Linked DNA regions of Callithrix jacchus. The protein of the gene in region 3 purifies or fractionates together with the protein of the main gene of each other region. This does not show direct contact. Links are inferred from orthologs where the notes say so. Each region holds a gene or a part of one and is shown on either strand. Other genes may lie near its edges. The genes, in order: USP1, USP46, PHLPP2 and USP12.

Region 1 (3,567 bases), on a different chromosome or scaffold from region 3:
AAATACCACTGTGCTATAGTTGCCTACAGTATTCACTATAGTTATATGATGTACAGGTTACCTAACAGCAATAGGCCATTCAAAGCTTGCCTGCAGCCCATAACAAATTCATAAACTTTCTTAAAACACTATGAGACTTTTTTGTGATTTTTTTTTTTTTTTTGCTCATCAGCTACCATTAGTATATTTTGTGTGTGGCCCAAGACACTTCTTCCTATGTGGCCCAAGGAAGCCAAAAGATTAGACACCCCTGGTCTATACCACATAGGCTAGTTGTGTAGTATGCTCTACCGTCTAGTTGTATAAGTAAACTGTGACATTCGCACAATGAAACAGCACATTTCTCAAGACATATCCCCGTTGTTAAGCAACATGACTGTACTTCGTCTCTACTTTAAATATTTCACTGAATACAATGTCCTTCATGAGTTTACATCAAACACTGCATAAAGGGAAATGTACTTTTAAATGTACGTTAAGATATACTGAACTTCCCTACTTTTTTATTTTGAGACAGAGTCTTGCTCTGTCACCCAGGCTACCGTGCAGTGGCACAATCTTGACTCACTGCAACCTCGGCCTCATTCTCCTGCCTCAGCCTCCTGAGTAGCTGGGACTACAGGCATGCACCATGCCTGGCTAATTTTTGTATTCTTAGTAGAGATGGGGTTTCGCCATGTTGACCAGGCTAGTCTTGAACTCCTGACCTCAGGTGATCCACCTGCCTCAGCCTCCCAAAGTGCTGGGATTACAGGTGTGAGCTACCGTGGCCCAGCTGAACTTCCCTACTTTATAAACTGTAAGTTAAAATTACTTTCATGACATTATATATATATACACACACACACTAATTTAAGCATAGCACTTAGAACACCATAGTTCACATTCAGTGTTAAATTTCCTTCTCTTGAAACAATTTTATGCATAGATTATATTATATATGTATCTAAGAAGAGAAAATTCTAATTCTATAGCTGTTAATGCTCCTACCTATCAAAGTCTAAGAATTATACTAACCTTTGTTTATGGGTTTAACTTCATTAACATTTACAGGTATAACAGTATTTTCTGGAGATTCAAGTCCATTAGCTGTGTTATCACTTTCACACTTCCCCAAGTCCTCTTCAGGATCATATTCATTTTCTTTAGATTGTCCTTTAGCTCCTTGGTTTGTTGTTATTTTTCCCAGACTACAGAATTTAGAAAGAATGCTGGGTTGCTTATTTGCAGACTTTAACCAATTAATTTTAACTCTTGATTTCTTTTGTGAAGCTCTTGCACTCTCATTTTCGGAAATATACTTGGGAATTACTTTAGGAGGAATCTCTAATGTATCACTTGTAGCTTTTCTTTTTGATCTAGTTTGTCTCTGGTTCTCTTCCAATGACTGGTGTTCCTTGGATACTTTAACTTTTTTCTTCATGCTACCAAATTCTGTGTCGCTTTTTCTTTTCCCATTTCCTTTTGGGAGTTTTTCTTTAAAGTCTTCAGAATGCCTCATACTGTCCATCTCCATGCTGTTAATACCACTCATTTCCTCTTTCTGATGAGGTATTTCTTCTACCTTAGTAGATAATTCTGCCACATTTTTTACTTCTTCTTTTTTTAGGAGTTGGCATGTTTCTTGAATGTTTCCCAAAATACACTGTAATACTTCCTGTGCATCATGCTGTAGATATCCTTCATACATAGGGTTGAGTTCCCTATAAATAAAAATTTCCATTTCATCTATTCTAGTTTTAAAGATATAGTACATAAAACTATTTCTACATAGGAATGAATTCATGTAAGGAATATTGTAAATTATTTAATTTTTAAATCTCATTCAGCACTAATTTGAAATTTCTTACCTGAAACTAAAAGAGTAAATTTTATCTGTTTTTCATTATAATACTTTGAACCTCTTCCAAATATATTAATATATTTAATATATTTATATATTTTATAATGTATTTAATATACTTGATCCTCTTCTAAACATATTAATAACTAACAGTGCTTACCATATACAAGGTCTTAGTCAAAATGCTTTATCTCCTACATATACATTATCTTCATAATAGCAATAGTACCCTATAAGGGACTATTACACCACCACTATTGTCAGATAGATATAGCCACTGAGGCACACAGCGGTTAAATAACTTGCCCAAGGTCACAGAACTAGTTAGGATGAAAAGCCAGTAGTCAAACCCCACTCTTGGTTACCATGTTATAATACTTTTTTATTTTGGAGACAGGAGACTTGCTCTGTCTCCCAGGCTGGACTGTAGTGTTGCAATCTGGCTCACCGCAACTTCCACCTCCTGGGTTCAAACAATTCTCCTGCCTCAGCCTCCCAAGAAGCTGGGACTTTAGGTGTGAACCACCATGCCCAGCCAATTTTTCTATTTTTAGTAGAGGTGGGTTTTCACCATGTTGGCCAGACTGGTCTCGAACTCCTGACCTCAAATGACCCACCCACTTCAGCCTCCCAAAGTGCTGGGACAGGTGTGAGCCACTATGCCCAGCCTACAATACCTCTTAACTAAGGTGTAGCAATACACTGCACCTAGTTCTATTTCTAAACTAAATGCTTAAGTGATTGTTTTAAAGACTTGCCCTATTAGTATAACTTTATTTGAATAAGGCTATTTTATATATATAAAGTTTCATTTTTAAGAAAATAACAAAAAGCAATCTAATCCAGTTATCCAATAGTTCTCCTCTAATCACATATTAACAAAAATACATTATTTGGAACTTACGGTTCTTACACATATTTTGAATATAGTTCTATAACTCCTAATCTGAGGACCATGCATTTAGAAATTCAGACATTTTCAGATTCAAAGATAATACGACGTATAAGTAAAATATTTATCACCAACATGATATGGTAGTACTCTATAATTAAACATGATCCTATTTCTATAGAAGGATGTATGAATATTCACATTAGAGATAAATATGAATAATGACTATAAAAAGCCTAATATATTCAGATCTAACGAATTTAGCACCAAATTTATGAAAAAAAATTCCAGTATTCAGAGCCTCTGGGATATAAAGGACTGTGGACCTAGAGTTTCTTACTTTCCTTGCCCTTTATTTCTGTTTGTTCACATATCATTCTCCTCCAAGGATATAAACAAGTAGCTAAATTGAAACCCTAAAATTATATCATAGGCTATACCTGAGTGTGTTAAGCAGTCGCCGTGGCTGAGTGGCAAGTTCATCAGTGTATTTCTCTGGATTTAAGAGGAAACTAGCCTGGAGCTGTTCAACCGAAATGATTAAGGACTGTAAACTGCATATCAATTCATAACTTGCCAAAGAATCTTCTTTGCAATTTCCCTGTCAAGAAAGAAACACACAAACCAATAATTTTATTTGTGAACAAATTAAGTGCCTTCTTCATTTGTCTTTGTCTCACTTTACTAGCTTTTCTAAGTTGCATTATAGCACTAATTTTATGGGATAGACAAATCAACCTTATTTTTTTTTTATTTTGAGACAGAGTCTCTGTTGCCCAGGCTGGAGTGTGCAATGGCTTGATCGAGGCTCACTGCAGCCTCAACCTCCTGG
Region 2 (3,567 bases), on a different chromosome or scaffold from region 3:
AGGGTTAAGTGAGGAAATGTGGTCTGAGCCAGTGGGCAGGAGCACTGGAATACTGAGAAGGGAAAACCAGCCCCCGTTCAGCTTTGGCTGTTTCAGCCAAGCAAGTGGTTCCTAATTACTGGATTTCTCTTTGATTCATATTTTTATTTTCCCTGTCGTGGGAGTTTTGGTGTGTTGCAATGTGCATCTTTTATTTAGCCAGCTGTTTTCCTGGGTCTCCACATTATGTAGATTTTTTTTTCTTTCTCTTTTTTTAAGCACCAGCAGGTCTCATTAGACTCTTTATTGAGACAGAGTGCTTATTATCATTTTAGAGACTTTGATGGGCTAGAGAAGCACCAGAATGATGTGCATTTTTCTTCACTTCTCTCTTGATCAGATGGCCACTAGTGTTTAGAGTAGTTAACTAGTTTTCTAATATGGTGAGCTGGACTCAATACAGGGACAGCTGGGCCAGTTCCTAGAGCAGGGACCTGCTCACCCTCACTACTTATTCCAGAGGTGGCTCATCCCCAGGCGATGACTTGAACCATCCCTTTTGTCCCTTGGCAGTTTGGAAACACATGCTACTGTAACTCCGTGCTTCAGGCGTTGTACTTCTGCCGGCCGTTCCGGGAGAATGTCTTGGCATACAAGGCCCAGCAAAAGAAGAAGGAAAACTTGCTGACGTGCCTGGCGGACCTTTTCCACAGCATTGCCACGCAGAAGAAGAAGGTTGGCGTCATCCCACCAAAGAAGTTCATTTCAAGGCTGAGAAAAGAGAATGGTGAGTAGTATGCATTATAATGCGTTTAAGGCTCTGAAATAAAGAGAATTGACGGTTCTACTCCTCAAAAGCACAAGCTGGGATTTTTTTGAAAAGGGAAAATAAGCATGGTCAATTACTCAGTGTTATTTTTTAAGAAACAACATTCTTCTCTACCCAGTAGACATAAAACAAAACTGGATTAGAAACACGCTTAAACATGCACAATTATCATCCCAGTTTAGAATGACTTTTTATTTGCTCCATTCTGGGCAGGATCATTGTAAGAGAAAAGAGTGTCCAAGGCAGCCTTCCGAGTGGGATACTCATTGTGATAATTGAATAAAATAGTACTGGCTTAAAAGCTTATCATAAGTGATTAAAATAAGTGCCTATTATCTAATCAGAGCTTCTGCTGTTTTAAATATAATGCCTGATTTTCATTTGCCTAAGGTAATTGAAGGATATCAAATTGATTGCTTTATGTGATTTTTCAAAGTCCGGATTTTCCTCGTTTTTCTATCTTAGCTTTTAGGGGATTGTTGGGAGAAACTAGGTGTGTATTCCAGAAGTTTTGTATGAGCAATTTTTATGACTATAAAAGTATTTGTTACGGCAATTACTATTTACTTATATCCACCCTTACTCCATCAGATGTGCCTGGTTAATCAGGTATTTGTTTTATAAAGTGTTGTTTAACTTGATTGCTGTCTTTTGAAGTTACAGTTTATACATATCAGAATAAAAATTAATTTGAGTGGAGAAGGAAGCAGAGCACTCTGTCTAGTTGTGAACATGATTAATAATGAAGGTTCACAGCTGCATTCATCTCTTGATTGTTTGTCCTTATGGCAGGGAGCAGCAGTAGGCTTCTGGAATCATTCGTATTCAGTTTCAGAACATTATCAGATAGATGCCTGCTCACACATATCCCTCATCTCCCATCTGTGTTTCATCTAAGCTGCTTCCAGGCTGGTCCAGGGTTTAATATGGTCTTTGAAAAGAGACCCCAGTTGCTCTGAATAAATTACTCAATGAATAATTAATTGATCATTGGTGAATACATCATATTAAAAATTGGTATTTTATCAGGGAACTTGTCTGGTAACTTCTGTTCTTTTGTAGAACAAATAAAACTTGGTAGTTTTATATAAATGTGATGACTCCAGGGAGATATGGCAAATTTGTTCTTGATGGGTGGCAGAAAATGGAAATACATTTAAAAATTATTTGGAAGCTTACTCATTGAAGCTGCCTGGTAGAGTATATTTATATTCCATGCCTTTCAGTATAAAAATTGAAGTATGGGCTGGGCACGGTGGCTCAAGCCTATAATCCCAGCACTTTGAAAGGCTGAAGTGGGTGGATCCTGAGGTCAAGAGATGGAGCCCATTCTGGCCAACATTGTGAAACCCCGTCTCTACTAAAAATACAAAAATTAGCTGTAGGTGGTGGTGTGTGCCTGTAATCCCAGCTACTCAAGAGGCTGAGGCAGGAGAATCCCTTGAACCCGGGAGGCAGAGGTTGCAGTGAGCCAAGATCACACCACTGCACTGCAGCCTGGCGACAGTGCAGTGTGAGACTCTGTCGCCAGACTCCGTCTCAAAAAGAAAAAAAATTGAAGTCTGGCATGTAACATTTGAGTAGATCCATTTGCTTTTTAAGAACCAAAGACTGAAATAACTACCTTCTCCTTTCCAGATCTCTTTGATAACTACATGCAGCAGGATGCTCATGAATTTTTAAATTATTTGCTAAACACTATTGCGGACATCCTGCAGGAGGAGAAGAAACAGGAAAAACAAAACGGAAAATTAAAAAATGGCAACATGAACGAACCTGCGGAAAATAACAAACCAGAACTCACCTGGGTCCATGAGATTTTTCAGGGAACACTCACCAATGAAACTCGATGCTTGAACTGTGAAACTGTAAGTGCTAGGGGAGCTCTCATGTAACTCACATGTTCATATTCAGGTAGGCTGTGTTGCATGTGATTGCAATGTGGTATTAGAGCATTTAGCAGTTATTTGCAGTGTATGTAAATGATCCTGTTTGTGCATGTGAAACTCAAGGGCAAACTTTTGGAAGCATATATCCATCCAAGATGTCTCAGCAGGCTGAAGCTGAGTAATGAAGGAAAATCTCCTCATATGCTGAATTGTTTTGCACCATGGGCAAATTTTGGGGTCTGCAGATTTACCTATTGAACTGTATGTCAACCAGTTATCTTGCAATTTGGTCATAGGGAGGTCATGTGTGGTGTAGAATGGGACCATCACCTCAGTTCAGAGGCAGTTAGCTGTGGTATGTTGAAGTCAGAAGACAGGCTACACTCCTGTTTCTGTAGCAGTTAACTGGGTATTTGGGGCAAGTTACTTACAGCACTCTTGAGGGTTGAATGAGCTTATGTGTTTGGATGGGTCTGGCACGTGGTAGGCACTTAATGTTAATTGAATTTGAAGACATGTTCTCCAAAGCATGATTCAGGATGTCATATTTGCTTGGCATGTTTAACTTCAACCCTGTGGGTGGCCTCATATTTTGCTGCTTAAGAGCTGAGCCCTGGAGCCAGGCTGCCCAAGTTTGTATGCTGGCTTTTCCACTTAATAGCTAGTGGATCTTGAGCAAATTATTAATTTTCTCTCTCCTCACTTTCCTCATCAATAAAATGAGGATGATGGGAGTGCCCATCTTGGAGGGTTGGTGGTAGGATTAAATGAGTTGACACCTAGAGCCATGCTTGGCACCTGGCAAGTAGGCAGTAAATGCCAGCTACTATTATTTATTATAACTACTGCTGACAACAGAGAAAGTCTGGG
Region 3 (3,567 bases):
GCCCTAGCCCCAGAGTTTCTGATTCAGTGGGTAAGAGGCTGGTTCAATAAACTGCATTCCAAGAAATTTCTGGTGATGCTGAGGCTGCTGGTCCTACAACAACACTTTGAGAACCATTCACTTAGGCTATAAGTTCCTTGAGGGAAGGCCCACGAGTCTTAAATTTTCCCCTGCATGCAGGGCATCCATGTGCCTGTACTTGGAAACAATCCTAAGAAACTGGCAGAAAGACCTAGTTTCAATCCCAGCTCTGCCACTTCCTGGCTACAGACCCTCAGCAAGTGATTTCTCCTAGAAATTTCTCTGATAAAACATATAGTATGAAAAATACTTACTACAGCTCCTGGCTCAAGAGTTGTTTCATAAATTGAGTTCCCTTCCCTAAACCCTTTATTTTATGAAGTCTCTAGCTCAATTCTACTACTGAAAAAAACTCCTTCCTAACGCTTTGCTTTGTGTTATGACAGATAAAACTAGTTCAAGATCCAGGCTGTTCCATTTCAACCTGAACTATACAACTTAACAACCTCTCAGTTATTCATACCCTTTATCAGTCCACCTGATATGCAAATGCTCCATTACAGTTAGGTTATATAGATATCCTCAACTTACAATGGTTCAACTTAAGGTTTTTTGACTTCACAATGATGAAAAGCAATACTGCAGGCATTTAGTAGAAACTGTACTTTGAATTTTGATCTTTTCCTGGGCTAGTGACATGTGGTATGATCTTCTCTCATGATGCTGGGCAGAGGTAGCGAGCCACAGCTACCAGCCAGCCACTTGATCACAAGGCTAAACAATTAATACAGTGCCCTGTGCACCAGATGATTTTGCCAAACTATAAGCTAATGGGGTAAGTGTTCTGAGAACATTTAATGTAGGCTAGGTGAAGCCATGATGTTTGGTTGGGTAGGTATATTAAATGAAGTTTCCACTTACCGTATTTTCAACTTACGATGGGTTTATCAAGATGTAACCCTATTGTAAGTTGAGGAGCATCTGCATAGAGTTTTTGCCCTTAAGTGGTTTAGACTTTACTTAGACTAGTTGGGTAAAACCCCAGAAACAGGGATTCTAAGCATATGAATCTGAGGAGTTTTTGGCTAACCTTTTGTAGGTCACTGACTCCTTGGACAATCTTATGAAAGCTGAGCACCTTCCTCCTCAAAATGTACAGCCACATATATATATACACACACAACCTTTTGCATATAAATTCTGGGCTCCCAGATCCTCAGCAGCCTTTGGATTCAACAGAAAAAAACAGATGAAGTCACAGGCTTTTTAAAGAGCCAAAGCCCCACACTCCATTCTGATATAGAGAATGATAATAGAAGACAACAATGTTGAGTTCTCTCCTTGATCCTGTAACCGTAATTTAGACCCTGACCTTCTGGTTTAGAAAGATACATTTTCTTGGAAATGTCTGCTAACCAACATCTGGTAAATAAAAATAAATAAATAAGATATATTTTCTAAAAGTAGAACTGAGTTAGGGATTATTCAACCCACCTGCTTACCTGTGAGATACCAAGAAGGTGTTAACCATGAAAACTGTGTCATTAGTTGACTGCTGCACCTCTTCTAAAAGCACATCTGCCATTGTACACTGGAGCAGGCGTGGGAGCTCCTCATTTCGATCCCCATCAAACATGCCATACACAGCTCCCACCCCTTCTGCAAAGTTATCCATTGCAAGCGCTGAGACACACAGCCTATAACAGAAATATGAGAAACACAATCATCAAAAAAAGTTACTGGTAAAGTATTATTCTTTAGGGACCATTCTTTTAAAAAGTAAGTATTAATTAAAGGTGGAGAGGACCAGTAGCAAATTGTAATCTACACATAAAAAGTCCTTAGACATGATAATTAAGCAACATCTGAAAGAGCTAATGTCCCAAGGAAAGGGGAAACAGCCACATTCACCGGCAGTACATATCAGCTTTGCAATGCTGCGGAAGGCTGGTAAGATAAAACACTTTCTCTTAGTGGCAACTAAGGATTAGTTTTGTCAAGGCTCATCAGCCAAAGATCACCAGAGCACACCTATGGTTGAAAAAGCTGCGTTTATTACTCGTTATAGCAAATGAATATGCACCCCATGGACCCTGGGGTATACAGATAAGGAGTGCTGAAAAGAACCAACTAGAGGGTTTGAACTTTGGCTGGGGAGGGTATAAGGAAGAGGATCACACTAGACTAGGTGTCATCAGAAAGTGGGGCCATTCTATGGCTGGGTATAAATCTTATCTATAGGGAAAGAAAATTAGCAGAAGGATAAAGCTGTAACCAGTAAAGAAAGTAGCATCTACCCATCTTAGCCATGAAAGGGGGTTTTTGGTATTTTGTTGACTATATATTTGTGTTGTTTTTGTCTTAAAACTTTATCATGGTCTCAAAAGGATCTTATCTGACACTGATGTTCTATGACTTTTGTACAACAGAATAACATGGCCTAGCTATTATGAGCATCAGACCAGTTCTCAGATGCCAGGGGCTGCCATTTTTTCTTTCTCAGTCTCCATGGCTAATATACTCACTTATTTCTCTGCCCTGTCATCTCAGCCAGTCCGTGGCTCCAGAAGGTTGATGTAACTGTAGAATCTGTGGTTGGCAAAGGTTTCTGATCAATTTTCAGGGTTGTGATATGGCTGTGGGAGGTGAGGGAAGATTAAACAATATGCTCAACTGTTTTTTACAAAAACTATCCCAACAATTTTTTTTTTTTTTTTTTTGAGACCAAGTCTCCCTCTTGTCACCCAGGCTGGAGTGCAGTTGTATGATCTCTGCTCACTGCAACTTCCACCTCTCAGGTTCAAGCAATTCTCCTGCCTCAGCCTCCCGAGCAGCTGACATTACAGGCATGCGCTACCACACCCAGCTAATTTTTGTATTTCTTTCTTTCTTTTTTTGAGACAAAGTCTCCCTCTGTCGCCTAGGCTAGAATGCAGTAGTGCGATCTCGGCTTACTACAACCTTCACATCCTAGGTTCAAGCGACACACCTGCCTCAGCCTCCTGAGTAGCTGGGATTACAGGTGCCTGCCGCCATGCCCAGCTAACTTTTATATTTTTAGTAGAGGCAGGGTTTCACCATGATGACGAGGCTGGTCTCAAACTCCTGACCTCAAATGATCCACCTGCCTGGGCCTCCCAAAGTGCTGGGATTACAGGGGTGAGCCACCACGCCTGGCTTATTTTGTATTTTTAATAGAGATGGGAGTTGCGCCATGTTGACCAGGCTGGTCTTGAACTCTTAACCGCAAGTGATCACCCACCTTAGCCACCCAAAGTGCTGGGATTACAGGCGTGAGCCACTGCACCTGGCCAACAATAACGTATCTTTTAATAAAATAATCTATGGACAGACTAAAATGCATTTCTAGAGAGATGGATGAAAGTAGTATGCTGAACTACTGGCAAAGGAGGAGGGGAGAGAAAGGAAATGGGTAGAAGGAACAAAGGAGTAGGAGTTTCAATCAAAAACTAAGCACGGCAAAGATTTCTAAGTTTTAGTCAACCATCTATTTCTTTAACTACTTTGATACAATGAAGTCTTGGT
Region 4 (4,140 bases), on a different chromosome or scaffold from region 3:
CATTCCACACACACACCCAGTATCATCCCTGCTTCACCCGGCATTCCAGGAGATAGGAAGGACTTTTAACACTTTTATACTGAATGCAGAACTTAGTACTCCAGATCAAACTGTAGAAGTAAATGTAAATGATAGTCTGATAGTTCTTCCCCTTCAAGGCCCTCACAACTGAGTAAGAGTTCAAAGAAAAATATACTACACAGTTTAAATATGATAGGTGCTACTGACATTTCAAAAATGGCATGAAGTTGTATGAGGGGGATGGAGGGTTGGGTTGGAGAGGGGTAGGATTATTCAAGTAAAGCTCCCTGCTTAAGAGGTACACATCCTCGCAATACAAGGATGGGGGGTAGGGCAGAGGAAGCATTCCAAGCCTAGCAAAACGGCACCTACAAAGCTAAAGAGGTATCTTTGTTTTTCAATTTTGTGATTCTCAAGAGGACAGATAGCATTTTCTTTAAAGAATAAGACTGCAAACTACTTTGAGATATTTAGCACTATTTGAGGGTACATTAGAATGTATTCAAATACGAATAAAGACACACCCAATTTTAATAGTACCTTTTGAACAATCTCGTTCGGCCAGGCACTTTCAGTATTTGCCAACAATACACACACCCCACCTGTAATTAATGCATCTGGGTGGAAGCCCTAGAAAGAGCTCCCGATTCTGATCTTGGAGATCAGAATCCCACTTACTAAGTGTGCGACGCTGGCAAATCCCTGTGTCTCACTGTCCTAATGTGATTACAGCACATATTTATTAATATATTAATTTAAATACAGTTTGTGTCCATGAAGAACGTAAACACCATGAAAGCCGGGGCTATCCTGACCACTACAGCATCCCCAGCACTCAGCCCCACCTCTAGCACCTAGTAGCTGCTAAACGTAGATGTACAGTACCTGAGTGAATGAATAAGAGTATCACACCACTCCTGAAATCCCATTCTTTGACAGTGAACTATGATCATTACAATGTGTGTAGATCAGCAATCTGGTATCACTGTAAAAGACCTAATTATCGCATTCTTTTGAAACTGAGTAAGATAATAATTGGCGTATCTGAAAATAATTAGCCCAAACAATTCTTGAAAATCACTTTAAAATAGTCCATTTAATACCAATGCCTTCCTAAAACGTAAACTTTGAGAAAGAACCACCATCCAGTTGGGAAATGGAGTCTTCAATATGATTTCTTAAATATTGTCGATTTTATGTCCAGCTGATTTCAGCCATTTTTTGTACTGTTCCTCAGCATGCAGTAGAGAATCTGCTTTTAAAGCATCTTTCCGATCAGATTCACCACTCCTCAAAGAAAAATATACACAATGGACCATCCTTAGATGGAAAATTGCTTGAGGCTCTCCTATATGAAATCGGTTGCATAAATAGGGCCAGTGAGGCATCAAACACAAGCTTTCAGAAGTCTTTAATAACAACCAATAGGTCCACGTTGCAAAGAACAACTTTTTTCGGTGATGACTCATAAATTATGATCCCTACATATAAGCTCATGAGGCGCTAATGAAACGAATTTGTCTCATCATGTGGAAAACTGTGGTCCTTCTGGCCAAGCACAAAACACCAAGTTTTAAACGCGCCCACGTTTTGCTTAATTCGGGACTTCCAGCGAGGATTAGCGCTTTTCCTTTATAGTCTATTTAAGCGCCCTAAGAAAACAAATATCATCGCATTGGCAGGCGGTCCCCGCACACAGACAGACGTAGCTTCACCACATACAGATGTGTCTGGTGGGCCGAAGTAAACAAATGACAGGAAAGCTAATGCTTTTAAAGATTAACGTGCATTCCCACAGACAAGACTGCCACCTGGACACACGGCTGGAAACGAGAGCTCGTGCCTCTCCGAAGAGAAAAATGGAGAGAATTTCAACAACACTTATTTAAAGTTTCCATCTTTACATACGCCCCTTTCCGCCAGCGCGGGGTCGGGGACTCGGCCCGGCCAGCGGCGCGAGGAAATCTGCACTTGACTTCCGTCCTCTCCCTGGCGGGAAAGAGCGCAGCCCGCCCCGGCAGAGACCCTTCCTTCCTGCCCGCCGACCCCCACCCCGCCCGGGGACACCTCCCTCTCGGCGCGCGGCCAGGAGGAAATGGAGCCCTCGCGGCTCCGCAGCTCCTCGCCCCCTCCTCGGCGACCCTGGCCCAGGGCCGCGCTCGGGCTCCTGCGCGCCCACCCGCTGCCCCGCCACAGGCCAGGCGCGCTTCGGCCCTTGGCCCGGCGCGGACACCAGCAGTTCGGTCGGGGACTCCCGGAGGCCAGTGCCCACCCCTCGCCGCGTCCCGCACCGTGGGCCCCTCACCGCCACCCTCGCGCAGCCCCGGCCCGCCAGGCGGCGCCCCCTCCCCGGACGCCTGGGCCGCTCACCCCCGCGCTCCCCGCCCGAGCGCCGTCCGACCGCCCCCACCCGGGCCGCCCGCACGCCCGCCCCCGCGCTAGGCCCCGCGAGCGGCCACAGGGAGAAACGGGTCCAGCGCCGTCCGCCCGCCCGAGAGGTCCCGGCTGCCCCTGCCGCCCGCCCGCTGCACCTACCATGGTACAGATGGAGGCGAATTTGGAGACTGTCATTAGGATTTCCATCCGCCCAGCGCCATCTTCCACCCAATCACAGCGGCGGCGGCGGGCGGGGGATGAGGGGAGCCGGGCCGCCCGCTCGCACTGCAGCCCGCGGGCGGACCCCGAGCCGCAGCGGACCCACGCACCGAGCCCGCTGGGCCGCCGCTGCCGTCGTCGCCGCCGGCGCTCAGGCACTCCCGGCCTCGGGCCCCAGCCCCCCGCCTGCCGGCCGCCGGCCCGCCCCCGGCTCCGCCCCGGCGCAGGGCGCAGCCGCTGCCTCCGGGCCCGCGCCTGCCCGCGAAGCCGCCCGCCGCCCACCCCGCCCAGCGCGCAGGGGAGCGGACTCCGCTGAGGCCCTAATGCCCGGCCTGCCAGGCAGCAGCGCGGCCCGGCGGCGCAGCCCCGCCCACCCCTCGGCGCCCCCCTCGGCGGCCCGGGAGCGCGAGCCAAGGAACTCCTGCCCGGCCCCACCCCGCGCGAGGCCGAGGGCGGGACCGAGGGCGGGCACTGTCTTTTGCCTGCGTCCCTGCGGTCCTAGTGCCGGGCGCCCGAGCCCCCTCGTAGGAAGAGGGGCGGCGAGGAGTCGCGGGGGCGGCTGCGGCGACCTGGGAGAACCCGGGAGGGGCCAGACTGCGACACCCACCGCGGGCGAGGCTATAGTGATCTCCCGCTGCCTAAACAGAAAACGGAGGCGATGATCTGGGTAACTTCGTGCGGAGTGGGAGGAAACATGCTCTGCACAGTTAAGATAACCCAGGTATGCGTCCCAAGAACTTGGTTTCTTTTTCCGTGTATTGGATGAATTCCTGGAGTCAAACACAACTTAGAAAAAGACAAAATAATCAAATAAAAATGAAGCGGCAAAGAACAAATTACACGTTTAACTCTTTGAATTAAGAAGAAAGATAAGTAATGGGGGAAGTGGGGAGAGCAACGAATCCTGTCGGCCTGTTGCCCATAAATTTAGAATAGGTTTCTAAATATCTGCACATTGTGCTACAGAATAGAGAAGATCTCAAGCCAGCAGTGATGATGATATTACCAGAAACAAGAAGCCCGCAAGCAAGAAAAATGCCCTGTGAGAAATCCTCAGGCAGTGCTGGCTACTGGCATGGGTAGTTCCTCTTTTCTCCTCTTATAAAATTCATCATTGCACCCAGTTCATCGTGTCTGGCAGCTCAGCTTTATTTTTTCCTATTTGAGAAAGTAGTTCAAGTGAGTGGAATAGCTTCATAAATTATGATGTTAAAAAGCTCTTTTTTTTTGAGACACAGTCTCTGTCGCCCAGGCTGGAGTGCAATGGCGTGTTCCTGGCTCACCGCAACCCCTGCCTCCCAGGTTCAAGCGTTTCTCCTGCCTTACCCTCCCCAGTAGCTGGGGTTACAGGCGTGTGGCACCACGTCGGGCTAATTTTTGTATTTTTTTAGTAGAGACGGGGTTTCACCATGTTGGTCAGGCTGGTCATGAACTCCTGACCTCGTGATCCGCCCGCTTCGGCCTCCCAAAGTGCTGGGATTACAGGCTTGAGCCACCGCGCCCGACCCGTGATATTTTCTAATT

What was found.
Region 1: the proteins of PHLPP2 (region 3) and USP1 purify together in Homo sapiens (affinity purification with mass spectrometry; 3 studies listed by BioGRID and IntAct, with this or other methods). This does not show direct contact. The link is inferred for Callithrix jacchus from reciprocal best matches to the Homo sapiens genes PHLPP2 and USP1.
Region 2: the proteins of PHLPP2 (region 3) and USP46 purify together in Homo sapiens (affinity purification with mass spectrometry; 4 studies listed by BioGRID and IntAct, counting the BioPlex papers as one, with this or other methods). This does not show direct contact. The link is inferred for Callithrix jacchus from reciprocal best matches to the Homo sapiens genes PHLPP2 and USP46.
Region 4: the proteins of PHLPP2 (region 3) and USP12 purify together in Homo sapiens (affinity purification with mass spectrometry; 3 studies listed by BioGRID and IntAct, with this or other methods). This does not show direct contact. The link is inferred for Callithrix jacchus from reciprocal best matches to the Homo sapiens genes PHLPP2 and USP12.

What each region holds. Positions count from the first base shown.
Region 1 is NC_133508.1:99,537,364-99,540,930, reverse strand, and holds part of USP1 (ubiquitin carboxyl-terminal hydrolase 1), read right to left. Parts: intron 3,337-3,567; coding exon 3,176-3,336; intron 1,704-3,175; coding exon 1,018-1,703; intron 1-1,017. UniProt on the Homo sapiens protein: Negative regulator of DNA damage repair which specifically deubiquitinates monoubiquitinated FANCD2. Also involved in PCNA-mediated translesion synthesis (TLS) by deubiquitinating monoubiquitinated PCNA.
Region 2 is NC_133504.1:143,992,176-143,995,742, forward strand, and holds part of USP46 (ubiquitin carboxyl-terminal hydrolase 46), read left to right. Parts: intron 1-552; coding exon 553-766; intron 767-2,446; coding exon 2,447-2,676; intron 2,677-3,567. UniProt on the Homo sapiens protein: Deubiquitinating enzyme that plays a role in behavior, possibly by regulating GABA action. May act by mediating the deubiquitination of GAD1/GAD67.
Region 3 is NC_133521.1:30,249,484-30,253,050, reverse strand, and holds part of PHLPP2 (PH domain leucine-rich repeat-containing protein phosphatase 2), read right to left. Parts: intron 2,658-3,567; coding exon 2,547-2,657; intron 1,719-2,546; coding exon 1,524-1,718; intron 1-1,523. UniProt on the Homo sapiens protein: Protein phosphatase involved in regulation of Akt and PKC signaling.
Region 4 is NC_133506.1:146,334,766-146,338,905, forward strand, and holds the start of USP12 (ubiquitin carboxyl-terminal hydrolase 12), read right to left. Parts: upstream 2,832-4,140; 5' UTR 2,605-2,831; coding exon 2,557-2,604; intron 1-2,556. UniProt on the Homo sapiens protein: Deubiquitinating enzyme that plays various roles in the regulation of the immune response and inflammation.